Macaca fascicularis: one gene and its partners. The protein of the gene in region 1 interacts with the protein of each later gene in a pairwise test. Links are inferred from orthologs where the notes say so. Each region holds a gene or a part of one and is shown in the gene's direction. Other genes may lie near its edges.

What was found.
Region 2: the proteins of FAM168A (region 1) and SF1 interact in binary tests that used the Homo sapiens proteins (3 or more experiments, as listed by UniProt). The two-hybrid records come from large-scale screens. The link is inferred for Macaca fascicularis from reciprocal best matches to the Homo sapiens genes FAM168A and SF1.
Region 3: the proteins of FAM168A (region 1) and DTX2 interact in binary tests that used the Homo sapiens proteins (3 or more experiments, as listed by UniProt). The two-hybrid records come from large-scale screens. The link is inferred for Macaca fascicularis from reciprocal best matches to the Homo sapiens genes FAM168A and DTX2.
Region 4: the proteins of FAM168A (region 1) and UBE2V1 interact in binary tests that used the Homo sapiens proteins (3 or more experiments, as listed by UniProt). The two-hybrid records come from large-scale screens. The link is inferred for Macaca fascicularis from reciprocal best matches to the Homo sapiens genes FAM168A and UBE2V1.
Region 5: the proteins of FAM168A (region 1) and OTUB2 interact in binary tests that used the Homo sapiens proteins (3 or more experiments, as listed by UniProt). The two-hybrid records come from large-scale screens. The link is inferred for Macaca fascicularis from reciprocal best matches to the Homo sapiens genes FAM168A and OTUB2.
Region 6: the proteins of FAM168A (region 1) and UBASH3B interact in binary tests that used the Homo sapiens proteins (3 or more experiments, as listed by UniProt). The two-hybrid records come from large-scale screens. The link is inferred for Macaca fascicularis from reciprocal best matches to the Homo sapiens genes FAM168A and UBASH3B.
Region 7: the proteins of FAM168A (region 1) and SS18L1 interact in binary tests that used the Homo sapiens proteins (3 or more experiments, as listed by UniProt). The two-hybrid records come from large-scale screens. The link is inferred for Macaca fascicularis from reciprocal best matches to the Homo sapiens genes FAM168A and SS18L1.

The regions. Positions count from the first base shown.
Region 1 is NC_088388.1:72,428,677-72,432,729, reverse strand, and holds the start of FAM168A (protein FAM168A), read left to right. Parts: upstream 1-1,253; 5' UTR 1,254-1,463; intron 1,464-2,135; exon of another isoform or gene 2,136-2,336; intron 2,337-4,053.
Region 2 is NC_088388.1:9,621,260-9,624,759, forward strand, and holds part of SF1 (splicing factor 1), read left to right. Parts: intron 1-1,824; coding exon 1,825-1,977; intron 1,978-2,181; coding exon 2,182-2,271; intron 2,272-2,626; coding exon 2,627-2,810; intron 2,811-2,897; coding exon 2,898-3,013; intron 3,014-3,108; coding exon 3,109-3,216; intron 3,217-3,500. UniProt on the Homo sapiens protein: Necessary for the ATP-dependent first step of spliceosome assembly. Binds to the intron branch point sequence (BPS) 5'-UACUAAC-3' of the pre-mRNA. May act as transcription repressor.
Region 3 is NC_088377.1:51,269,024-51,273,110, reverse strand, and holds the start of DTX2 (probable E3 ubiquitin-protein ligase DTX2), read left to right. Parts: upstream 1-1,287; 5' UTR 1,288-1,415; intron 1,416-3,102; exon of another isoform or gene 3,103-3,275; intron 3,276-4,087. UniProt on the Homo sapiens protein: Regulator of Notch signaling, a signaling pathway involved in cell-cell communications that regulates a broad spectrum of cell-fate determinations.
Region 4 is NC_088384.1:106,203,791-106,207,775, reverse strand, and holds the start of UBE2V1 (ubiquitin-conjugating enzyme E2 variant 1), read left to right. Parts: upstream 1-1,185; 5' UTR 1,186-1,222; coding exon 1,223-1,244; intron 1,245-2,769; exon of another isoform or gene 2,770-3,043; intron 3,044-3,985. UniProt on the Homo sapiens protein: Has no ubiquitin ligase activity on its own. The UBE2V1-UBE2N heterodimer catalyzes the synthesis of non-canonical poly-ubiquitin chains that are linked through Lys-63.
Region 5 is NC_088381.1:162,040,940-162,045,175, forward strand, and holds the start of OTUB2 (ubiquitin thioesterase OTUB2), read left to right. Parts: upstream 1-1,436; 5' UTR 1,437-1,634; coding exon 1,635-1,637; intron 1,638-4,236. UniProt on the Homo sapiens protein: Hydrolase that can remove conjugated ubiquitin from proteins in vitro and may therefore play an important regulatory role at the level of protein turnover by preventing degradation.
Region 6 is NC_088388.1:121,604,525-121,606,697, forward strand, and holds part of UBASH3B (ubiquitin-associated and SH3 domain-containing protein B), read left to right. Parts: intron 1-971; coding exon 972-1,081; intron 1,082-2,173. UniProt on the Homo sapiens protein: Interferes with CBL-mediated down-regulation and degradation of receptor-type tyrosine kinases. Promotes accumulation of activated target receptors, such as T-cell receptors and EGFR, on the cell surface.
Region 7 is NC_088384.1:118,203,956-118,207,455, forward strand, and holds part of SS18L1 (calcium-responsive transactivator), read left to right. Parts: intron 1-826; coding exon 827-903; intron 904-2,997; coding exon 2,998-3,082; intron 3,083-3,328; exon of another isoform or gene 3,329-3,500. UniProt on the Homo sapiens protein: Transcriptional activator which is required for calcium-dependent dendritic growth and branching in cortical neurons. Recruits CREB-binding protein (CREBBP) to nuclear bodies.

The DNA.
Region 1 (4,053 bases):
GTTAGCTGAGATTGCGCCACTGTACTCCAGCCTGGCCGACAGAGCAAGACTCTGTCTCAAAAAAAAAAAAAAAAAAAAAGAATTCAGATACAAGGAAAATCAGTGTGTCTAAAAATGTTCTAGGGAAGGTAGGACTTTGGTTTGAGTTTGAAGAATAAGAGAAAAGGAGAAAATGGGTGTGGAAAGACCAGAAAAGGAAAAATTTTGAGAAGGCGCATTGAAAATTGAGAAAATTCTCCCTTCTAACTTTATGAATTGGAAGTGACTACTATTATTTTTTTAATAGTGTAACTATTAAAACCAGGCAGGCACAGTGCTGAAGCGTGAATGAGGCAATGGGAAGTCATGGAAAGCATCTAGGCAGCAAAGAAAGGTTAGATTTGGAAATTATGTTTTGTGGAAGTAGTACAGCTTAAAAAATTGTCTAGGTGTAGTGTGGCTCATGCCTGTAATCCCAGCACTTTTGAGAGCTGAGGCAGGAGGGTCTCTTGAGGCCAGGAGTTTGAGACCAGCCTGGGCAATATAGTGACACGATGGTCTCTTACAATTAAAACAAAACAAAAAACAAAACAAAAGAAAACAAAAAACAGTTGTTAGGTGCTCCTTTTAAACAATTCAAACAATATGAAAATAAAAATTACAGCCGGGCACAGTGGCTCCTGCTTGTAATCCCAGCACTTTGGGAGGCTGAGGCGGGCGGGTCAGGAGGTCAGGAGATCGAGACCATCCTGGCCAACACAGTGAAACCCCATCTCTACTAAAAATACAAAAATTAGCTGGGCGTGGCGCGTGCCTGTAATCCCAGCTACTCAGGAGACTGAGGCAGGAGAATCGCTTGAAACCGAGAGGCGGAGGTTGCAGTGAGCCGCAATCGCCTCACTGTACTCCAGCCTGGCTATAGATTCAGACTCCGTCTCAAAAAACAAAAAAACCCTACGTGCAATCTGACACCCTTTCCCCCAAGATAATCATTGCTAATATTTTGGCGAACCTCTTTCCTGAAATCTCTCCATGCTTATAGAATATTGTGTCAAACTTCACATAAATGTACCCGTGTAGACATGACGTTCTGTAATCAGTTTTTTTCCCTGAAGAATAAATTGTGAATAGCTTTTCATATCAATAGATTTATATCATCATTTTAAATGGCTCCTTAGTATTGCATTGTATGTATATGTCACGCCTTATTTAAGCAGCACCCTATTGATGAACATTTACTCCCCCCATAATTAACTACGTCATATAACAACTTTGTGCATTCATCTTTTCGAAATTGTTCGATTATTTTTTAAGGTAAATTCTTGAAAGTAATGGAGCTGGGTCAAGAAGTATGCGCTTTGTCGTTTGGATTCAAGTTGCCGAATCGTCCTCAAATTTGCAGGGAGACCAGCGAGGAAGCTCCGGCATTAGTTCTGGTGAAAGACAACTGAAACAGAGATGGCGAGGGAAGAACAGAATTACAGGTGATCTAGCCCATCAAGGCCCATCCTCGGTGGGCTGGCATATTCCTTCCCTTTGCCTCTCTTTCACTTCTTTTTCTTAACATGGAGGAAGAACCGAGAACTGCATCTCCCAGCATTTCGCAGGGACCACACTCCCAGGGAACTGTAGTGCCGGGTCTGAGAGGGGTCCGGAAGGAGAACAGGAAGCTGAGAGGCATGCTGGGAGGTGTAGTCGAGAGAGAGAGAGAGAAAGAGAGAGAGAGACAGAGAGCAAGAGCGAGAGAAAGCGCGAGCGAGAGAGAGAGAGAAAGAAAGAGAGAGAGTGTGTGTCTATGCAAAGAGGATGGAGACGTTGCGAGTATGGCCCCTTGGGGATGGGGCCTCGGGCGACCTGACTTTCCTCACAGGTGGTCTTTGAGTCTACAGAGTCTGCCAGCGGATGGTTGGCTTTATTCCATTGTGCGTGACCGGAGAGGGCGCGGCCCCTCTGCACCGGGCTGGCGGCGGGAGGCTCAGGCCGCGCGCGGGCTAAAGCAGGGCATGCCGGGAGTTGTGGTCCCGGCGCTCTGAGGCTGTGGGACGTGTCGCGGCGCCGCGCCGGCTCCTCCTTCCCTGCCCTTCTCAGCGGTCCCCCGCCTCCTCCCTCCGCCTCCTCCTCCCTCGCCCGCAGCCGAGCGTCCCCTCCCCCAACCCGTCGGGCTCCTCGGCGGCTACTGCAGAGGATTCAGAGCCGAGTGGCTGAGGAGGAGGAGGCTCCGGTCCCCGCGCGCCATCCGCCACCCTACTGGACACGGGCGAGGGAGCGAGAGCGTCGCCGCCGTAGCCTCCGGAGAAGACAAGGGCATCGCCGCCTCAGCCGCCGCCGCCGCCGTTTTCGCCTGCAGCTGCTCACCGGTGAGGAGACTCCCCCCGCCACCCGGTCCGCTGGTCCTGAGCCTGGGCCGGTGGCGCTGGCGAGAATGAGAGTGGGGGCTGCGGAGCCCCCGTGCAGGTGGTGGGGAGGGGGTTCAGGTCGCGATGGAACGGCGGGCTGGTGGGGGAGACTTGTCCAGGCGCTGGCTGGGGGTGGGGTGAGGGTGGGACCCAAGCAGGTTGGGGGGCGGGCGACCAGGGAGGAGGACTTTTGATGGAGAATAACACAACCTGGGACAGGAGAGTGGGGTGGGGGCGCCAGGTTGGAATTCGGGATGGTCTTGGGGCGAGGTGGAAGATGAGACTAGGGTGGGATGGCTTTTAATGGGGGAGGGGACTGAATGAGGGTGGTGATTTGGGTTTGGCCTGGAGCAGTTGACAGCTTGGGATCTGAGCTGGGGTGAGGGGTAGGGGAATGATTTCAACGGAGAGTGAGTGGCATGTACAGGGCTGGACAGGACCCTGCGGAGTGTTAATTCAGGAGGGTGGAATTTGGGGTAGACCTGGGGCAGGATGATGGAGGTGGCAGGAGTTGGGGGTGAGGGGCTTGGCATGGGTTGAGACCTGAGCTTGAAGTGGGTGTTTGTCATCTGGGGCTGGTGGAATTTGTGGAGACTTACGGAATAGCATGGGTTAGGATAGAGCAGAGGAGTGCAATTTGGGGGTTTCCTGGGGTGGGCTGATGGAGGTTGGAATAGGAGTTGGTGGAGGTGAAACATTCAGTGAGGGGAGTGTGATGGTGAGCTGGCAGGAAGGGGTCACATTGGAAGTCAGGCCCGAAATGGGAGGACAGGGATGGAAATAGAGTGTGGGGCACAGTGGGTTGGATTTAGGGTGATCTTACAATCACTGGAAAGGGCATGGTGGCTCCTTGGTTCCAGGGTCAAGGCAGAGGGCACATAAAACATCACTGGGCTGCATTCATTGAAAGGATAGCGGCAGGGGTGAGCAAAGTTGGGGGATGGTATCTTGAAGAAAATGTCCCTTGGCCAAGGTGGCAGAGGGAGTTTTGGAGAAGGACTTTCGGAGATGAGCTGGTAGGCCTGGGGAGGTGGTTGCTGATGGTGAGGTGGCACAGGGGAAATTTAAGGAATGGGAGACCTGGAGTTGTTGGTATGGATAGGGCAGAGAGGATGGAGAGGGACAGTGAGCTGTGCGGGAGAAGGGGGTGGAAATGGGTTGGATTATTTTGGAGATGAAGAATTGGGATGGCCTCCAAGAGACACATGAGGGTTAAGGGTTGGAATACTTAAATGGACAGCCTTGGTGGCTGTGATTGGGGGAGAGGCAGTAAGCCTGTTAGAGGGGACTTTGCAGGGGACACAGAAGAGAGCATCTCATTCTTAGGGGCCATTTTAATCTGTTCGGTTGATCTTTTTGTTTGTTTTATTTATATTAGTATAATTTGGAAGTCAAGTCAGCCCAAAGGGTAAAGTTGAAAGGGGATTTAGTTAAGGTAAAATTAAGGAGGGGAGGGTGTCTTCTGTTATTTGTATATCATAAAAAGTAAGTTGGGGGAAAAGGAGCATACTTCCAAACTAAAGGTGGGAGAAGATAAACTGGAATGTAATAGATATCTTTCTATATAATATTTCTGCCTTTTCCTTTCCCCTCTCCTCCTGGTGCATTTAAAAACTATACCTGGAATTTGAAATTTAAATAGATTTGATGAGCTTGAGATAGTTAAGGGTACATTTCT
Region 2 (3,500 bases), about 63 Mb from region 1:
TTGAATTTTTAACAAACCTTCTTTGCTTCCTGGATAACTGGGATTAGAATTTAGTTGATCTAGCCGATGCCTATTGGAGGTGAAGAAGTCGGGCCAGTCTAACCTCTAGAATACTAGTTTTTGCCTTTCACTTCTGCAATTTGGGAAGAGGTTAAACTGTTGTGAGGCCTTCACATGGCCAATTGGGTAATTGGGTGCTGGTAAGACTTGTTTTTGTAACTAGCCAAGAGTGCTTAATTCTAGACAGCTATGGGGTGGGAATTAGAAATGTCAAGCATGTTAGAAATAAAACCAGAGCAGGGTTTTTCCTCCCTTGTATTCAGTTTTGAAAGAGGCCCTAATGCCTGATTGGTTTTGCTTTTGAGCCCAGGTTGGAGGGAAATGCATGGGTTTTCTTAATTAAGATAATTTATTAAAAAGGTGTTATATCAATTAAGCCACTTTATTGTTATTTCGATGCTGCTTAACTTGCACAGTAAAACATGTTTAAAACTTTTCTTGTAGACTTAAATGTATAAGATGGTAGTCTAATGAGCTGGGGTATGTTTGCTTTTGTTCACTTTTACTGGATTGTGCTAACAGTTTATACAAATGCTAGAAACGGAGGTGTCATTTAGCCGTCATTAGCCATGAACAAACCTGACCTTTTATTCCATCGTGTGTGTAACGTGGTGTGACATGGTTCCCTTTAGGCTGAAGACAGTGGGAGCAGCCGAGTTCAGTCCTTGCTCTCCAACTAGGCAAGGTTCTCTCAACTAAACCAAGGGTATAGGAGTCTTGACTACTTTCAGGATGTTTTTTTAATAACCTGATCCACATGGTCTCTTCCCTTCTTGCAGCTGCTACTAAATTTTCATTCAGAATATCAAGCTATGGTCCTTTTTGTAATCTTAACTCAAAATTCTAGGAGTGTAACCTCTCTTTTTTATTACCGCAAAATCCAGCTGTGGTAAACTGACCATTTTATCATTATATTTTTTTACTTGTAGCAACAGCATTTTACTCCTTAAAAAAATGAGAGAGAGAAAATCTGCTTTCTGGACTTGTAAACTCTGGTGGAGAATCATAGGTTTTCCCCTTGCTGTTTGCAGGTTCAGACCCTAGACAAGTATTTGACCAAATCTGCATTTGCAGCCTCTCGCAGAAGCTGCTTTAGCACTTTAACGTTTTTCTCTACTCAGACTCCCCAACCTCGAACAGCCAGAAAACAGGTTGTCTCCTGGGCCTTGGACACAGCCAGCCAGGCCATTGAAGGAAAAGCAAAGACGAAGCCTTGAACCATCTCTCTCCATTGTGGGGGCCAGTAGCTGCAGTAGCCTTCAGTCCCAGTTGCATTGGGTTAAGGAGCTTATGCGCACTATGTGTTAGGGGTACAGAAGCTTTTCCTCGTAGGGCATTAGCTCTCCAAGAGTGAACATTTTGCCTAAACTTGGGGTTTCTGTGGTTCATAAAGTTGGAATATTGTAATTTTTTTTCAAATGGAAGAAAATCCATATTTGGCAAGAAGACTCCAGGGGATGATACTGTCCTTGCCACTTATAGTCCAGAGATTTTCCCCAAAGGATAGACATTTTTTCTCTCATCACTTCTAGATGCAAAACCTTTTATTTTTTTCCTTTCTCACACACACCCCAGACCCTTAACGTTCAGCCAGCTTCCATCTCCCCATTCCACACGATCTTGAGTAGCACACGTTATGGTCGGTTCCTCCGGAGTGTTGTATTAGGGTCTGAGAGGCAGAGGGGCTGGGAAAGACTTGTTATAGTCCGTGTGGGAATGAGAGAAGTCGGGGCAGAATAGTAAACGGGAGTCTGTTTCCCACAGGTCCCCTTCCCCTGAGCCCATCTACAATAGCGAGGGGAAGCGGCTTAACACCCGAGAGTTCCGCACCCGCAAAAAGCTGGAAGAGGAGCGGCACAACCTCATCACAGAGATGGTTGCACTCAATCCAGATTTCAAGCCACCTGCAGATTACAAGTAAGCAGAGGGGCTAGGTCATCTGGGATGAGGACACATGCAGATCATGGGTGACCTGCTGGGATGGGACAATATTGGCACTACTCACCTCTTACCCCAAATCACCCATAATTAGCACTTGGTGTACCAGTAGTTAGTTTTAGAAAAGCTACTGACTGCGTCATTCTCCAGAAATGTGTGCAGTGACAGGCTTTTCTTTCTTAGACCTCCAGCAACACGTGTGAGCGATAAAGTCATGATTCCCCAAGATGAGTACCCAGAAATCAACTTTGTGGGGCTGCTAATCGGGCCCAGGTGAGTAACTGCTAGTCTATAGGATATAGAATTCCTTTAGAGCCTCTGAGATGTGTCTGTTTTGTGCCTAATTGGGAACTGTTGGCTTACTTTTCCCCTTTTTGGTAGGACATTCATTTTGACTGAATTAATGTGTTTCTGTGAGAAGGTGTTTTAATTTCCGTGCTAGTGCGGAGAAGTCAAATCCTCAGGTTTACTGTGGCTGACTGTAATGTAGAGTTCATGGAGCTTTTGGTGGGAAAATCCAATTCTCTGTGCTTTTGGTTTCCCACCAGTGTCAAATTGGTCCAGCCTCTGTTCCCTCTTGAGTATGAACTTGTCAGGTATAAATTCAGTCATTTCTGCCTCTCTATAGAGGAAACACCCTGAAGAACATAGAGAAGGAGTGCAATGCCAAGATTATGATCCGGGGGAAAGGGTCTGTGAAAGAAGGGAAGGTTGGGCGCAAAGATGGCCAGATGTTGCCGGGAGAAGATGAACCACTTCATGCCCTGGTCACCGCCAACACAATGGAGAACGTCAAAAAGGCAGTGGAACAGGTGAGTGGTGAGCCCAGAAAGGAAGCGTCTTGGCAGAAACCTAGGCGGAAGCCCTAAGCACTTAACTGTTCATTGCATATTCACTAGATAAGAAACATCCTGAAGCAGGGTATCGAGACCCCAGAGGACCAGAATGATCTACGGAAGATGCAGCTTCGGGAGTTGGCTCGCTTGAATGGGACCCTTCGTGAAGATGACAACAGGTATGTGATCAGTTTAAACGAGTGTGTGTGGAGACCTGAAGAACCTGTGGAAGTACAGATTGTCCCCTTGCATTGACCTCTTTTTCCCTTAATAGGATCTTAAGACCCTGGCAGAGCTCAGAGACCCGCAGCATTACCAACACCACAGTGTGTACCAAGTGTGGAGGGGCTGGCCACATTGCTTCAGACTGCAAATTCCAAAGGTGAGGGGCTGGCTCTTGCGGTTTCCTGGTAGCCTGCAATGTGCAGGACAACTCTTGTCACATTAATTGGTTGCTGTTAATCTTACCAAGAGAAACATCCTTTCTGTTAGTGTGGTCTGTAATGGTGTGATTTAAAGCCCAGGATGATTAGAAATAGGCTGTACAGATACCCCTGTTTGTCTTAACCCCAAGAAAACTGGAAGCTTCTGTTTTTGGTATGAATGTTTTCACTGGGGCTGAGTAGGAAATTCACTGCTTTTGCTGTTCAGAATTGGTTCAAGAAG
Region 3 (4,087 bases), on another chromosome or scaffold:
GACGGATTCCTGCTCTGTCGCCCAGGCTGGAGTTCAGTGGCGCGATCTCGGCTCACTGCAACCTCCTCCTCCGGGGTTCAAGTGATTCTCCTGTCTCAGTCTCCCGAGTAGCTGGGATTACAGGCGCGCGCCATTACACCGAGTTAATGTTTGTATTTTTAGTAGAGATGGGGTTTCACCATGTTGGCCAGGATGGTCTCAATCTCTTGACCTCGTGATCTGGCCCCAGCGGCCTCCTAAAGTGCTGGTATTACAGGCGCGAGCCACCGCGCCCGGCGAGAAACCTTTTCTTTTCTTTTTCTATTTTCCTCCTCCTCCTCCTCCTCCTCTTCCTCCTCCTCCTCCTCCTCCTCCTTCCCCCTCCTCCTCCCCCTCCTCCTCCTCCTCCTCCTCCTCCTCCTCCTTCTCCTTCTTCTTCTTCTCCTCCTCCTCCTGAGAGGGATTCCTTCTCTGTCGCCCAGGCTAGAGTGCCATGGCGCGATCTTAGCTCACTGCAACCTACACCTCCAGGGTTCAAGTGATTGTCTTGCCTCAGCCTGCAGAGTAGCTGGGATTACAGGCACAAGCCACCACGCCTGGCTAATTTTTTTTGGGATTTTTAGTAGAGACGGGATTTTGCCAGAATAGCCAGGCTGGTCTAGAACCTGACCTCAGGTGATCCGCCGGCCTTCGCCTGCCAAAGTGCAGGGATTACAGGCATCGGCCTCTGCGCCCAGCTGAGAAACCATTTCTGATTCACTTATTCACTCCCACACTCCCACTACACAGTAGCAAAATAAATAAATAAATATTACAAATAAATAAAAAAGGAAAGAAAGAACAAAAAAGAAAAGAAAAAGACAAAAATTTAAATTTAAAAAGGCTGTGCTCGATGGCTCACACTTGCAACCCCAGTGCTTTGGGAGGCTGAAGCAAGAGGATCGCTTGAGGCCAGGAGTTTGAGATTGACCTGAGCAACATGGCAGTGCTGCAAGACCCCCATTTGTACAAAAAGAAAAATAAAATTAATTTTAAAAACAAAAAAGGGAAACACAGTAGCACATGACCTGGCACCATGTATGTACTAGTAAAAACTAGTTAAAATTAAGTCAGTAATTGCTGGAGGAATAAGTCAATGAGTGAACAGGTGAAGGAAGAAAACAGACACTGGAGCAGGTGCGCCTTGGGTTGAGCCCCTCCCCCCGAGCCCCGCCTCCCGCCCGCCCCCTGGGCCCCACCGGGACTACATTTCCCAGAAGGCCGCACGCCCCGGGCATGCGCAGCGGCGCGCTCGGAAGCTGCGACGCTGAGTTTCACTCTGGCTGCCTTCTCCTGAGAGTCGGACCCACAGCCAGAGCCCTGCCCAGGCCGTTCCGGAGCTGCAGCCTGAGCGCGGTGGTGCCCTCCGTCCCGTCCCCTCGTCCTCCTCAGCCTTGGTGAGAGGGCGGGCAGGCCACCTGCGCGTCGCTAGGGCTGCGGTCCCGGGGGCGTGGGGTGGCGCGGGGAGCTGGAGCCTAGCTGGGACCGGAAAGGGGCGGGCGTGGGTGTGAGGGGGGGCGACGGCGACACCCGGGGGTCCCGGGAGATCTGGGGTGTCGGGGCTATCGGTCTCCGGGATCAAGGTCCTGAGGGCGGGAGTTGGGGGACTTGGGAGGCGCCGGGAGCTTTGGACGGGACAGGGTGCCAGGTGCGAGAGAGGACGTTCGGGTGAAGGCTGAGGGGCTCGCAGGCGGAGGGGCGCCGCTCCCGGGAGTCCGGGTCGCTCGGGAGGAGCGCACCCCTTCCCAAAGTACCCGGAGGAGGCGGTGACGAGATTGCCACTGGCTCTCTGACGAGGGGTGGGTCCTGCTGGGGTCTACCCCCAGGTGAAGGGACTCACTGGGCCATGGGTTGTACTTTGGAGGAGTTTGCTTCCTAACTCTGCTTCCCTGCTCTCCTGTGGGGAGCCTTCCCGGGAGTTCCTGGGGCCCTGGGTCACTTTTTGGGGTCCTTAAGGGGTGCCGAAAAAGATTTAGAACTCGGTTCCCTTTTCTGGAGCTGCGCTTTCATCGCGACTGTCTCAGCCAGCTGCCCTCCTCCTCCAAGCTGGCTCCACTTCTCTAAGCGCCAACAGCGATGGAAATAAATAGCATGTGTACAGACGTCTGGACCCTTGAGAAACTCAGAATATTTCTGCATGCCCTCCTAGCTCCTCTAGCGCTCTAGAAGGTAGACTTTCTGGTGGCCACCATCCGGGCTTACTTTAGCCATCTGGATAGCAAGCCCTCTGATTCGGTTGCTCTGTGACCTTAAATATTTACCGTCTCTGGTGTGTTGATTTCCTGGATGCTTAGCTGCCAGACTGGCTTATGAAGTCCTTTTAGGGCTTTCTGTGGAAAAAGCTCAGGCCAGGCACGGTGGCTCATGCCTGTAATCCCAGCCCTTTGGGCGGCCGAGGTGGAAGGATCACTTGAGTCCAGGAATTTGAGACAAGCCTGGGAAACAAGAAGATTCCTGAGATCACTGTCTCTGTAAAAAATCAGATGGGCGTGTTGGTGGGTGCCTGTAGTCCCAGCTACTTGGGAGGCTGAGGCAGGAGGATCGCTTGAGCCCAGGAGCTGGAGGCTGCAGTGAGCTATGGTCACACCACTGCACTCCAGCATGGGCGACAGAGGGAGACCCTGTCTCAAAAAACAAACAAACAAAAAAACAAACTTTTTTTTTTCTTTTTTTAAAGAAAAGGGCTCATAGCCAGGTGTGGTGACGCATGCCTATAATCTCAGCTACTCAGGAGGCTGAGGCAGGAGAGTTGCTTGAAACTGGGAGGCGAAGGCTGCAGTGAGCCAAGATCATGCCACTGTACTCCAGTTTGGGTGACAGAGCAAGACTCCGTCTCCAAAAAATAATAATAATAAAAAACTTTTAAAAAGGGCTCAGGGTTTTGTTTGCTTGTTGTTTTTTTCAACTATCTCCTTGATTGTTAAGTGGGTGGACGAAGACTATTGTACTTTCTGCTCCGCCCAGGCTATTGGAAAATAAATCTGGTGATTTTCAGTCCCCAGGCACAGCACACGGATCCAACATCTGTACCTTTGTTTTTTACTAACTGCTGTTTAATTTAAAACCTGATCATCTTCTTCCTAGTTGGCAAAGGTGCCTTGGAATTTGTGTCGCTGAGTCAGCAAGCTTTCAGATTTGCCCGGTTTTTGTTGTTTGTGGTTTGTATCAAGATGGGAACTCAAACAAGTCATTCTTCCTAAGGAGCTGGTGTCTTCATCCAGAAGGGACGGTTTGTGCCAGCTCTCCAGAGAGAAAAGGTGAGAGCCATGGGGACTTGACCTTGCTGCCTTCTCTATCTGGTGCAGAGAAGGTGAGGATTGGGGAGGGTGGAATTTGAGGTCTGCAGGATAAACGTGCGCCCTGGAAGTTGACTGTTGATTGCCACCTGTCTCAAATAAATTGCAGTGGCGTCTTGCCAGCTGCTTCTCCTGTTTCACTAACTAGTCTTAGAAGATGCTTTCCACTTTAAGACATGCTTTATGGGATGGAAGACACAAGTCACGATTTCTGCATTTGAACTGGCAGTTTTCATTTCTTTTGTTGCATAAACCTTTACTGGGTGCCAGACAAGATCTCTGTCTTTTGGGAGCGCATTGTTTAGTGGAAAAGACAAACCAGAGTCAGTGACAAAGTATTGTCAGTGTGACATATACTGAGCTGGGGAAAGCACAAGGCCCTCCTACCCACATCCAGAAAGGGGAGGGCTAGAGGGAGGTCAGGAAGGCTCCTGGAAGGTGGTAGTTGAGGGGGGTTGTGAAGGAGGAGTAGACTTAGAAAGTGGGGCACAGTCGTCTGGGAGAGGAGTCAGCGTTTGCAAAGTCATGAAGCTACCGGGACACAGCTGGGCTACTGTAAGTAGCTTAGTATGTGGTAGAGGAAGCTGGAAAAGCAGGCAGAGGGCTGAGCAGGGAGGGTTATGTGGGCCATGCCAAGACTCGGGAGCGGAAGGATTTTAGGAGATTTCCATGAGGGGTATTTTATTTATTATTTTTTTGAGTTGGTGTCTGCTGCTGCCGCCCAGGCTGGAGTGCAGTGGAGTGATCATGGTTCACCATAGCCTCAAATTCCT
Region 4 (3,985 bases), on another chromosome or scaffold:
TGAGTGGAGAAGTGAATGGAGCAGGAGAGATGCAGAGTAGGCATTGTTGTCAGACAAAGGTGATGAATTGGATGTGCTGGGTGAGGGCTTCCAGCTTCCTTGTCCCTCTTTGTTTAGAGTCCTAGTCCTTCTGCCAGTATTTTGCTCTGTGACCTTAAGCCAGTCCCTTCACCTGTCTCAGCTTCAGGGTCTACATCCATATAAGGGCTTCTCAGACAATTTATAATATAGGAGGATTAACTTCTTGGGTTTATTTGCAAAAATATTTCCCGAGGGCCTTTGCACAAGCTGTTCCCTCTACCTCCTCATTGTTAGGGTCTCTGTTGAAATACGACCACGTTAGGAAGCCTTTCCTGACCATCCTCCGCTGCCCTTTTCTTGGTTTATCTCTAGCCTATCAGAATTGTAGTTTCCTGTTTATTTACTTGCTATCTATGACTAGAATGGAAGCCCCTGAAAGCAGGGATTTGCTTCTTCAGAGATGTCTATCCATCCCCAGCTCCTAGCACAGTGTCTGGTACATAGTAGGTGCTTAATGTTTGTTTGGTTGAATGAATGAACGAACGAATGAGTGAATGAATGAATTGGGCAGATGGTTAGCAAATGTTTTCCCTGCCACCTTATTGCCCCCAAATCATTTAGCTGCACCCACTTCAAGCCTTCTCTGGCCAGGGAGCATCAATCCTAGAAGCCAGATCATCTGACCTGGAGGGTGACGATTCAAATTCAAATTTGAACCTGGAGGTTAAAATTCTGTCTGTCTCTGCCACTTAACAGCTGAGTTTAGATAAATCGTTTAATCTCTCTCGGCTGCATTTTTCACATTAATTCCGACCTTGTGGAGATGTGGTGAGGATCTAGATAGGAACTAGACAGGAAAAAGCCCCAAGTGAATTCGGCGCTTTTGTTTGAAGCTATCTTTTCTTTTTCTTTCACAATCGCGCCTTCCCAAGCCTCGTCACCCCTGCCCTTCTCACTAAGCACGTCACAACCTCCCTCGCACCCGATGTGGGGGGACTTGCAGGTTGCTGAGCCCTCGAGCACGCAGATATTTCCTTTCTCTAAAAGGGAAGGAAAAGAGCCTCCCCGGCCTCGGGTCGCGCAGGTCTCCGGAGCGGGCGTCAGTGGCGGCGTCTGTGCGTGCGCGCGCGCCTGCGCATCAGGGCCAGGGGACGGGTGGGGGGTGAAGAAGGGGCCGGCCTTCAAGCAACAGCGACGCAAGATGGCAGCCACCACGGGCTCGGGTGAGCGGGGGCGCCGGGCCCGGCCGGCCGAAGGGGCATGGGCTTGGGCCGGGGGCTGGGGACTCTCAAAGGCTCCTGCAGGGGGGCCAGGGTCCCCGCGCCGCCTCTGTCCGGTGGGCTCCGCTGCAGCCACGGGCAGGCGGTGGCCGGAAGCACGGGCGGGGGGCTGAGGGGCCTGTGGGCGGCGCGGCGAGCCTTAAGGCTCCCCCGGGAGGCGTGAGGGCCCCGCTGCGCTACCTGGGGGAGCCGGAGTGGGCGAGGAGCGAGCTCCAAGGCACTTCTGAGGAGACCGGGGCTGGCGACTCTTTAAGGGGCGACCAAGGGGTTCCTTAGAGGAGGAGGCGCCCCACAGCGGATGGAAGTCCCGTACTGGGTGCCAGGGGTGCGGCTGAGGGGGGGGCCTTGGGATGTCTGGAGGGGACATCAGAGGAGCCCCTCAAGCTGGATGGGAGGAAGAAACGGGATCCTGAGGGGGTGACTCGAGAGGATCCCCTATTGGTTGAGGGGACGGCTCCGGCGTTAGTTTTAGAGATAGGGTTAGCCGAGGAAATAGCTGTGTTGACTAGAAAGGAGGAGCCTTGGAGCGGCTGCTTTTGGGGAGAATTAAGGAATCTCCGCATGATAAGTGAGAGCGGGGGGGAAAGGATTCAGATGCCACAGGGACTTGATTGCAGTGATAGTGAAATGACCCCATCATTACCAGTCTCCTATTCGAGGATACAGATGGATTGCTCCAATTTCGCTTTCAGGGGACAGGTCCGTTGGGGCAATTGGTGGAAGCCTCTGATATTGAATGAGGAAGAACAGGTGAATTGGGAATCCCGAGGATGTCTCTTTGGGAGTGGGGATTCAACTGAGGGAAGCCCCTGAAATGAGTTAGTGGAGAAGGTCGGGTTCCAGAGATGTTTCTTGTAAACGAGATAAGTCTCCTCTTTTTGAATTGAGTGAGGGAAGCATATCCTAGAAGTGTCTCTTCTGTGGAGACGCTCACTCTCATCCACTCCTTTGATAATTGGGACAGATATGTGGGTTCAGCTCAGAAGTTCCCCACTGGCTGATGGGAGTAGGGAGGTGAATAGATGAAATGGACACTCTTGGGTGAGGCTGCACCCTCGGGTGCCTGGCAGTGAAGTTGGCCAAGGAGGTGCTCTCAGATGGGGTGAAGATGGGTTACCTCTGATGGAGGAAGGAAACAGAACCACAGTGTTCCCCACTGTGGGGCTGCAGGGACACGAACCTGAGTACGGCAGTCATTGGGGTATTTAAGGCCACAGCAGGGGCAGTGTTGGGAAGGAATTGGTGATCCATGAGAAATAGGGTGAGGGAAATTCTTTACAGTGTTGCTCCTCTGCGGTCTCAAGGAGCCATACTTGTCTGATGGTTGGGGTGAGAATAAAAGAAATTGAATATGGGGGATCTGACTGAAGTGACCCACCAGAAGCTGCTGCCTTTTGCATTTAAAACAGTGGGGTCTTCTTGCAGCATAGCGGAGACCATGAATCCTTTTACTCGATTTTGGTTTCAGCTGGAACAGTGCTGAGTCAATTCATTTACCAAGACGCTGCCCCAGGCACTCCCAGAAGAGAGATTCTGAGTCAGGCCAGACTGCTGGGGGAAACTTCTCACCAGAATAACACTCGTACCAGGTCGTAATGAAGCAAGGGGCCCAGTGTGCTGGCGGTAGCCAGCAATAAGGTGCTGTTGCAGCTCAGCCCTGCTTGCAGTCACTCGGTTGGCTACCTACAATCTGAGTTAACAGGTGCCCGATTCTAACTTCTGGAGACCCTGACAGTTAAAAAGTGAGTGCTTCGTAAATGGCTATGGCGATCAGATAAAATGTCAGCTGCTCTCGAGTGGAATACAAGAGCATTTGGCATGGTTTAAATAACATAGAACAGGCTTTGAGGTGCCCTAAAATGGACTTCCCAAAATTCTTTTTGTCTGTTTATTCAAAAGATATTTACTGAGGGCCTATTATGTCCCATTGTGGATAGCAAACAAAACAGACATAGTCTGTGTCCTTTGGGAGCTTCCATTCGAGTCAAGGAGAGAAGGCTGTTAAGGGGTAAATAAATAAGACAATTTCAGATAGCAGTAAGTGCTATGGAGGAAATTGTGTGATATGATAAAGAGTGTCTGGAGAGGTGGTCAGGGAAGGCTTCTCTGAGAAAGTGACATTTCAACTGAGGGGAATAATGGAAAGCGCCAACCCTACAGTGTCACAGGTAGGAGAGAGGGTGGACTGTGAGTGCAAAGGCCTTGTGGTGGGACTGAGCTTGGCATGTTGAAAGAACAGGATAAAAGGCCTTAGTGTGCAAGCAAGGCTTGTTAAAGAGATGAGTTGGAGAGACATGGCTTTGGATTTGACTTGGTGTGAGGGGAAGCCATCAAACAAGTATCTGGTATGAAGTAGGCAGTCAGTAAATATTTGTTGAATGAATAAATAAGAGTCTTAAAAAGAGGAGTATGGCAAGATCTGACCTAAGTCCCTAGGCAGTGAAAAGAGTGCAGGGTGCTAAGAGTCCCTAGGCAGTGAAAAGAGTGCAGGGTGCTAAGCAGACCTTACTTGGGTTAAACTAAAATGAGTGTACAGGCCTCCCTGCTTTCTAACCCTGAGAAGTCTTCCAGGTGTGGTCAGGGCCCTGAGGCCTTCCTTAGTCAGGTTTAGAGTGAGGCTCTTTATTAATCTGTGCTTCTGGTTGCCAGGAAACAGCTGTGAAGCCTTTGAGTTCCTGTAAGGG
Region 5 (4,236 bases), on another chromosome or scaffold:
CCCAACTTGAGGGCTCATCAAAACCTTGGCTGAAGAGACTCTTCACCCATGTCCCTCACCCAGATACCATGGAACCTGGCTCAGTCATTCCTCCGCAGAGGGAAGATAACATGCCTTGGAATGAGCACTGGCTGGGGAGTCAGAAGTCTGGGGATCCAGCCCAGCCAGGCCACTTCTTAGCTCAGCAGCACTGGGCTGCTCCTGTCACCTCCCTGGCTTTCTTGGCTGTAAAAAACAAAGAGGAGAAACCCCCTGAAAACAAACGGGGGTCAGGGTGGGGGCAGGTAACACAGCCCCTGTAGTCACGTGCAGAGTGAATTGGAAACCAGCTCTGGAGTCACACTGCCTGGGACTGAATCCCACTTGAGTGCTATGTGACTTACGCAAGGAACTTAAACTCTCTGTAATGTTTCCTCATCTGTGAAATAGGGATAATAATAACAGGACCTACCCCCATAAACCAGTTGTGAGGAAATTAAGCAAGATACTTCTGTATATGTGGAGGGTTCAGGATAGCACCTGATACATAGTAGGTGTTCTGCATAACTGTATAAATAACTGTAAAAAGTTAGATGCTATTGTTACTGCTCCTTGAGCCTCCATTGACCCCACACTCCCTACCCAGGTCATGATACATGCTTGGAAGACTCAGATGTCTGTATGCCCAGAGCCTAGCCTCGTGCCTGGGACTTACAGAGTAAGAGTTGTGGCGGGGGGGAGGGGCGGGGCAGCAGCAGGAAGGGGAATTGCTCAATACACACTCCTGGAAATATTAATATTGTGAAGTGGATGCATGCAATGCACTGAGCCCCCCTTCCCTACAAACTCTCCCTACTACACCCAAAGCAGCTCCTCCAGGACTCAAGGGCTGGTGAATGAATCTTTGAATGATAAATATTCCTATTTTGATGTCCATTAATAATGAGCTTGTGGGCAAGATGAGTCATCTAGACATGGTTCACGGATATCCCTACAATTCCAGAGCCACAGAGTCAACGATCCTGGACATTCATTCATTCAACAAACATTAACTGGGTGCGTGGCAACCTACTGATTCATGAGTTAGAAGAGGGTAAAATATTATGTAGAAGCCATACTTAATGTTATTGGACACGTGTTCCCTAAGCGCCTATCCTCTGATCTTGTGCAAACTATACTTATGTGACCTTGTTTATGAATTAATGAGGGCCAGCTAATCCTTCAGAAGACTCCAATTTTAGGTTTGCGCAAAAGCCCTTCAGCCTTTGCAAACGAGGACCTGTCTTTCTGGGTTGAGCTAACTCCTCTGCTAGTTAAAAGCTTTCTGTGTCTTTAAAAAGGGGAGGCATCCTGTCAAATGGTCCCTAAAGCATAGGCTGAAGGCGCGTGAAGTCCCACCCACTTTCTATGACGTCCTGCATCCCGGCTCCTGATTGCCCGCCTGAGACGTCAATTGCGGGGCGTGTGTCTTCCTGGGACACAGTGGAGGTCTAACCTTTGGTTTGCGGAGTGGTCGGGTGTATTCTCCGCCGCCCCCACGCCCTCGAGGTCCCCGCCACCGAACCAGCGGCGGAGCCCGCCCGCGCCTCCCGCGGCACTCCCGCACCGGATCGCTCCTCGCTGGGGCGGGACCTGGCCTGGCGGCTCCGGTCACTATGGTCAGTGATCGTGGGGGATCGCGAACGGGGAGCGGGCAGGGGGCGCGGTGGGCGGGGTCGCTGTCGGAGCGGGTGCACCTGCGGGACGGGGGTTGGACGCGAGGCTCAGCCCCCAGACCACCCCCGCCGCGTTCCGAACCCCTGAAATACGGAGTCCGGACGGATACTGGGGGCCAGGTCGCGCCCCGCTGTCCCCCGTGGACGTGCAGCTGAGGAGGTCCAGCTCGGCCCCGAGTCCCCGCCCCCAGCGTGTCCGCCCCAGTTGGCCCTGGGCGCCGCCTCGACGGCGCTGGGTGGGCGCCCTCGACGGAAGCAGGGACAGGGAGGCTGCAGCGCTATGGGTCGCCTCCTCTTTGTTAAGTAGCCCCCCAGTCAGCAGTCCACGGCCCCTCCCACCCGAGGGCTCAGCCGTCAAAGACCAACCCACTCCTGGCCCCTGCCCCAACCCCACGAGGGGATCTAGGAGTTGCACAGGGGACCAGATCGTCTGTCCCTGCGGGCGACTAGTCCGTCTCCATTTTTGGAGTCGGGACCCACGTGGAGAGGTTGCCTTAAGTTGTGAGGCACATGAGTTAGGGGTCGGGGAAAAGAAAATACTCAGGAATCCCTGATGGAGAGTCCTGTCTGCACAGAACGGGGCCCAGAGACCCTCTGAGCCAGGCTAACCCTGGGCTTGGGCAGGTGGGGAAACTGAGGTCAGACAGGGAAGGGCTGGTACTGATAGTGGTGGTCCTGGGACTTGAACCCAGGCCTCTGGACTCTCAGTTCAGTACTCTTTGTGTTACATCAGCTCACCTTCCAGGTTGCCATGGGGTCAGGCATCCTGCAGGGGACTGGGTGGGATGGCTGCCTAAGACCCTTCAGCCCTGAGCAGGGGGGAGCCTGTGGAGTGAGGGCTGAGTGGCTTGAGTCGGGGCCACACAGCCCCAGGTTCAAGTCTCACTTCCACCTCCTGGAAAGCAAAGAGGCTTTGGTTGGTCCACTCTCCCCCTCAGCACCGTTTTGCACATCTGTAATGGGCTGCTGTGAGAACCATGTGAGATGATTAGCTGGAGCTTTTCCTGTGACAACAGAGTCCTGGAAATGGGTGTGCACAGATGCCTGGTTCTTCAAGCTTAGCCTCCTCTCTCCTATGACTGGGCAGGAAAATGGGTCACCGCAGCAGGATGCTGCCAGGCTGGGGCATGGGTCAAAGCCTGGTCATGGCCTGGCATGATCTGGGTGTGGCATAGGCAGCCAGGGCACTCGAGCTGGGACTGTCCTTGCCAAGCCAGCTTGGGGCGTAGCTGGGGGCCTCTGGGGCATCTGGAAGCACCAGCTTCCTGCTTCCACTTGGTGCCCAAGGGTTTACCTGGTTGAGCTGCTCCTGGAAGGCAGCCCAGGTGTTTCTGCATCACCCACCAGGGAGGGATGGAGCTGGGGTAATGATGGGCTTAGCCACCCGGGAGCTGGAGGCTGGCATGCCCTCTGGCCACCACTCGGCAGCTGAGAGCACAGCAGAGGCGGTAGCCGCTCTTTGTGCCATGCAGTGAGGCCGCTCACTCTGCCCCCTATGTGCCCTAACTCAGGAGACTGGAAGTTAGAGGGCAGGTGGGGTCCAAAGCCCTCACACCTCACCGGGGGCTTGAGTGCCTTGGCAATGGATGAAGTGATTAACCCACTAAAATAGGATGTCTGTCTGGGAATCACAGGGGTGGAGGCAGTGCAGGGTCTGTCTGTTCCCTTCCCTTCACGTGGCATTTATTGAGCACCTACTGCATGTGGGGACCATACTGGGCCCTATACTGCATGGTGGGTTTTTATGTTGAACCTGCATTGTGTGGATGGTGGTGAGTGTGTGTGTGTGACAGAAGGAATATCCTTGGAAAATACAGCATCTTCTTTGCTTTCCTGTTTCTACATCACTGGGCTAAGCTTGAGGAAGGGCCCCCCGTGGAAGACACAAAGCCCCTTGGGAAGGTAGGGGTGAGACAAGGACCAGGCCTCTGGCAGGGAGTGCAAATAGCGAGGAGTCTCATGCACTCAAGGTGCATTTCATGTTTGGCGAATGAATGAATCAGACATAAGCAGGAAAACCACAGGGGCCTATTGTGCTTTGTTCTGTTATTTGTCAAACAGGTCCCCAGTGGGCGCCTTTGTCAGGCCTGTGCTGGGCACTGTGACACTAATGAGAAAGACAAGGTGCCCGCCCGCTCTAGGACCTCACTGCCTGCTGGCCAAGACAGCTGGACACAAGCAGTGTCTGAGCTACAGGTCATGGCCTAAGAGGCCTAAGGACTTTGGGAGCACAGTGAGGGGTCAATATGCTCTGAGGGAGTGGGGGTGTTGGAAGGTTCTGCAGAGGAGGTCTTTTGAGCTGGGGGAGGTCTTTTGAGCTGAGTTGAAGGATGTATATGAGTGTTCAAGAAGGATTTGGGAAGGGTTCATTCCTTCTGGTGGGTGCGGGGGGAAAGTGGGCTATCAGGCTTTGAAGCATGGTCAAGAATGGGGAAAGGTAAACAGCCTCTGAAGATGCAAGGAGATTGAGGGAGGCAGGGAAATTGAGTCTGGAAAATTCGGTGGGATCAGGATGTTCTGTGCAGGGCCTCACTTGTGCTAT
Region 6 (2,173 bases), about 49 Mb from region 1:
GCAACAGTATTATGGATGATGCCCACCTTCCAGTTTTCATTGATTAGCCAGTCACTGCCATAAAGGTACACAACATGTTCTATCAACCAGAAAGTCTCAAGTACTCACAGTTCTACAGTGGGCGCATTTAAAACTATATTAGAAGGAGTAACCCAGAGAGCCCTGTGGACCTACAGCAGTTCTGTATCTTGACTGTCATGGTGTTACACAAAGCTATACATATGATAGAATTGCATGAACTATATCGTCACATATACACAAACTACTGTTTGAACACCTGCTAAAATCTGAATACGCTGTGTGTATTGCACCAGCGTCCATTTCCTGGGTCTGATACTGTACCATAGTTATGTAAGATGTTACCATTGGAGGGAGCTGGGAGGAAGGGTTCATGGGACCTTGCTGGTATGTATGTATATGTATTATATGTAGCCCTCCCATAAGTCAATAATCATTATTATTATTATTACCGAGACAGGGTCTTGCTCCTGTCACTCAGGCTGGAGTGCAGTGATGCAATCATGACTCACTATAGCCTCAATCTCCTGGGCTCAAGTGATCCTCCCACATCGGCCTCCCAAGTAGCTGGAACTACAGTCACAGGCCACCACACCCAGCTAATGTTCTTTTAATTTTCTGTAGGGACAGGGTTTCACTATGTTTCTCAGGCTGGTCTCAAACTCCTGAGCTCAAGTGATCCTCCCTCCTCGTTCTCTCAAAGTACTGGAATTACAGGGATGAGCCACCACACCTGGCTCCATACATCTGTAACTATTTTAAGATAAAATGTTTTCTTTAAAAAAATTAGGCTGCCTTATCAATAACAAAGCACTTACAAAATATTGCTTAGGCAAATTGTCTTTTTCTTGAGTGTGTTTGCTCCCCTCCAGAACATTTAGTTAGCTTCCAGTATTTGCAGTTTCCATGTCTTTATAGAAACAGTCTTCCCATTCCTTGCCATTTTCCCCCAGGAAATAACATCCTGATTGTGGCCCACGCATCTTCCCTTGAAGCTTGTACCTGCCAACTTCAGGGCCTGTCACCTCAGAACTCCAAGGATTTCGTACAAATGGTCCGAAAGGTAATTCATTCTCGCTCTGTGGGGTCCGTGATGGCTAGTAGTTTGAGGTCAGCACAGTGACTGGCTGATTACTAAGTTCTTTGAAGCATGTGTTTATGCTGAGCTGGGAATATTCATTTATTGATTCTCTCAACCAAGACGTATTGAGTGATACTCTGTGCAGGGCACTTTATTAAGCCTTGTGTTAGAAAAACAATGTATTAGAGCTAGTTCTAGCTTCTAAGAGCTAAAATGTAGGAAGCAGCTAGGAATTATAAGCAAATTGTATGGATTTCCCTGAGGGACCTTCTTTGAATTTCCCTGAGGGAACTTGGGGTTGGATCAATAGAGGTCAGTCCAAAAGACAGCATCTGAAAGCTTAACTCAAACACAGGTCCTTGAAGGTAGGCTGAGGCATGCAGCAATTTAAAATGAGGAGGCTAAGAGGCAAAGCCAGGAACAAGACAGCAAGACAGAAAACCCATGAGGCTGACCCACACATCTGGAGTCTTCCTTTCAGTGGGAGAGGTTCCCTGGTCAGCTGCCTCCCACACACTTCCCTTCTGGCGAATTACATACTTCCTTTCTCTGCCACCAGAGAAACTGGTTCAAACTCATTCGCAATTGTTTTTCACATTTTTGAAAAGTTTATTTATGCATCTGTCCTCATTTGTCAGTGCTGGAAGACAGAGAATTTTGTCTTGTTTGTAAATGCAGCTCTCTGGACACAGACAAAAATAAGTTTTAAAATTGCTGTGACAACTGAAGTGAGGGAGAGCACAGCTTCAGCTTTGAATGTTACAGACTCATAAGGAGAAAAAAAAAATGGGTGAAACAAATTTTTTTAAATTGGAGCATCTTTTCCATTGGGTCCAAGTATAATTTCAGAAATGTTTGAGCTGCCTTTTTCTTTTCCTTTTTTTTTTTTTTTTTTTTTTTTTGAGACAGAGTCTCACTCTGTCACCCAGGCTGGAGAGCAGTGACACAATCTCAGCTCACTGTAAACTCTGCCTCCTGGATTCAAGCGATTCTCCTGATTCAGCCTCCCAAGTAGCTGGGATTACAGGCACACGCCACCACGCCCAGCTGATTTTTTGTATTTTTAGTATAGAC
Region 7 (3,500 bases), on another chromosome or scaffold:
GGTTCCGCAGTCTCACCCACCTTTCCTGCCCCCACACCGGCCTGTGTTGTGTGTGGTTTCTTCTACCCGTAGTGCTGTCCCTGCCCCTTCCAGACCCTTTCCTTCCCTCCCCCACCGCGGTTGGTGGCAGCCCCTGCAGGAAGTCTTGATGCCCCCCACCTAGGAGTGCCCTGGACCCCTGCTGATCCTGAGGGGGGCAGCTACCTGTGTCCCACCCTGTGTGGTTGTGATTTGAGGCTGTCCCCTCCAGCTGGGGGCTCCAGGGCCTCTTGTGGGGTGCCCACGGGGTCCTGACATCCTTGCTGTCGACTTGGCTGACCCTTGCTGCACAGATGCTCTGCAGTCAAGGGCCCTGGAAGCTGGAGGGTCCTTCAGGGTGGGGGCTGCTGGAGGCATGGGGCCTCCATGTTTTCATCTGTGGGCTGAGATGGCCCTGCCGCTTACTGGCGAAGTCCTTAGCACAGGGATGTGTGAGTGTTTGGTTTGTGGTGGCTGAGGCCATGCATGGAACGACAGCTTCACGTACAGAACGGGCGTAGCATCCCAGATCTGGAAATTTGAAGTGCTCCAAAATCTAGAACTTTTTGAGCGCCAACATGAGGCTCAAAGGAAACGCTCATCAGAGCATTTCAGGTTCTCGGATTTGGGATGCCAAACCGGTGGGTCTAAAACAGATACCTCCAAATCTGGAAAAATCTGAAATGTGACACGTTTCACGTAAGGGCCACTCAGCCTATATGAAAACTAGATGCGTAGCGGTGGCGGTTCATCCCGAGGGCCAGCGGCAGCCCCGCGTCGGCAGCGCCCGCTCACGCTCTCTCCGCAGATGCTGGACGAGAACCACCACCTGATCCAGTGCATCCTGGAGTACCAGAGCAAGGGCAAGACAGCCGAGTGCACGCAGTGAGTGCCGCCCGCCGTCCGCGGAACACTCTGGGGGTCATGCAGACTCTAAGCATGGAGGCCAGATATGTCCCGAGAGCCCCCCAGTGCGCAGGTCAGATATGTCCCGAGAGCCCCCCAATGCGGAGGCCAGATATGTCCCGAGAGCCCCCCAGTGCGGAGGTCAGATACGTCCCGAGAGTCCCCAGCATGGAGGCCAGATAAGTCCCGAGAGTCCCCAGCACGGAGGCCAGATACGTCCCGAGAGCCCCCCAGCATGGAGGCCAGATACATCCCGAGAGTCCCCAGCATGGAGGCCAGATAAGTCCCGAGAGCCCCCTAGCATGGAGGCCAGATAAGTCCCGAGAGCCCCCCAGCATGGAGGCCAGATACGTCCCGAGAGTCCCCAGCATGGAGGCCAGATAAGTCCCGAGAGCCCCCCAGCATGGAGGCCAGATACGTCCCGAGAGTCCCCAGCATGGAGGCCAGATAAGTCCCGAGAGTCCCCAGCACGGAGGTCAGTACGTCCCGAGAGTCCCCAGCATGGAGGCCAGATACGTCCCGAGAGTCCCCAGCATGGAGGCCAGATACGTCCCGAGAGCCCCCCAGTGCGGAGGTCAGATACATCCCGAGAGTCCCCCAGCATGGAGGCCAGATACGTCCCGAGAGTCCCCCAGTGCGGAGGCCAGATAAGTCCCGAGAGCCCCCCAGCATGGAGGCCAGATAAGTCCCCAGAGCCCCCCAGCACGGAGGCCAGATAAGTCCCTAGAGTCCCCCAGCATGGAGGCCAGATAAGTCCCGAGAGTCCCCAGCATGGAGGCCAGATAAGTCCCCAGAGCCCCCCAGCATGGAGGCCAGATAAGTCCCCAGAGCCTCCCAGTGCGGAGGCCAGATAAGTCCCCAGAGCCCCCAGCACGGAGGCCGGATACGTCCCGAGAGCCCCCCAGCACGGAGGCCAGATACGTCCCGAGAGTCTCCCAGTGCGGAGGCCAGATACGTCCCGAGAGTCCCCCAGTGCGGAGGCCAGATACGTCCCGAGAGTCCCCCAGCACGGAGGTCAGATACGTCCCCAGAGCCCCCCGGTGCGGAGGTCAGATACGTCCCCAGAGCCCCCCGGTGCGGAGGTCAGATACGTCCCGAGAGTCCCCAGCATGGAGGTCAGTACGTCCCGAGAGTCCCCAGCATGGAGGTCAGATAAGTCCCCAGAGCCCCCCGGTGCGGAGGTCAGATACGTCCCCAGAGCCCCCCGGTGCGGAGGTCAGATACGTCCCCAGAGCCCCCCGGTGCGGAGGTCAGATACGTCCCGAGAGGCCCCAGCACAGCTGCGAAGCGTTGCTGCCAGAACTGGGGTAGTTCCGAGGGAGGCGGGAGGAAAGAGCAGTGTGGGGAGGCCCGGGCCAGCCTCTGTGGGCAGCTCTACGGCCGGGAGACAGCACCTCCTCCAGGTGGGACCTCCTGTGACCCTAGGGCCTGACACAGAGGAGGGGTGTATGGCCAGTCTGCCACCCTCCAAGCGGCTGTCCGAGTGGCCATCAGGCTGACCTGGAGGCGGGAAGTAGGTGAATGGCCTCAGACACCCCTGGGTGTGAGTGGGGTGAGGGGACTGGGGCCCCACTGGTGTGAGGTGTACGAGGGGCCTTCCCTGGCAGAACTGTGCTTCCCCATTTCTTTCCAGGGCTTTCTCAGGGTCGCTGACTCTATGGAGTCTGCCCACTGCCTGGTTCAGCTGGACAAGGGCTCTGTCCCTCTGTCACCTTCAGGCCCCTGCCTCCTCGTGGCCTCCCCCATTTCCATTCTCTGAGCAGACCAGTGCCAGCTCCCCGTTAGCTGCTGCCTTAGAGTCTTTCCAGAGGTTTTGGTGTGGGATGGGAGCCTGCTCAGGGTTTGGGGTAGAGGCTGCCCTGCCGTCCCCACCTAGACCCCAGCACCCTGCCACCTGCCTGTGTCCAGCTGGGCAACCAGCTGGCCTGTCCCTGGGTGTCGTCTGGAGTCCGTGTCCTCATGAGGTTTGGTTGGTTGTCAGACTGTGGTGTTCACACTTTACTTCTGCCTTGGATCCACCTGGGGACTCCGTGGTCCCGTCCTCCTGCCTCACGCATGCCCCCTCTCCTGCAGGTACCAGCAAATCCTGCACCGGAACCTGGTGTACCTGGCCACGATCGCAGACTCCAACCAGAACATGCAGTCCCTGCTTCCTGCCGTGAGTACCCGCTGGGGTGGCCCCCTTTACCCAGCAAGGACCCCGACACTGCCTAAAATCGGGAGTTGTGGGCGTATCACCTCAGGTAACAGAGATGACTCAGAGAAACCAAAAATACCACTAGAGTCACCAGAAATGGGAGTGTGGGCGGTGGTGACCAACCCTTCCTGACAGACTGGGGGTAACGACGGCGTCTGAGGTGGCCGGGTCGGAACTGTGGTTCAGCCTCTGTATGTATTGAAGGGAGGGAAGTCCCGGAAGAACCACTGTAGGAACGGCCGCAGCTCTCGGGTCGGGGGTGGGGAGAGATGGGATGGGGGCCCCTGCGTCTCCCTGGAACCTCTCTGGGTGCTTTGAGCAGTTGTGAACCATGCACATGCGCTGCTGTGGGTGAAAACAGAACTTAAAAGAAAACGTG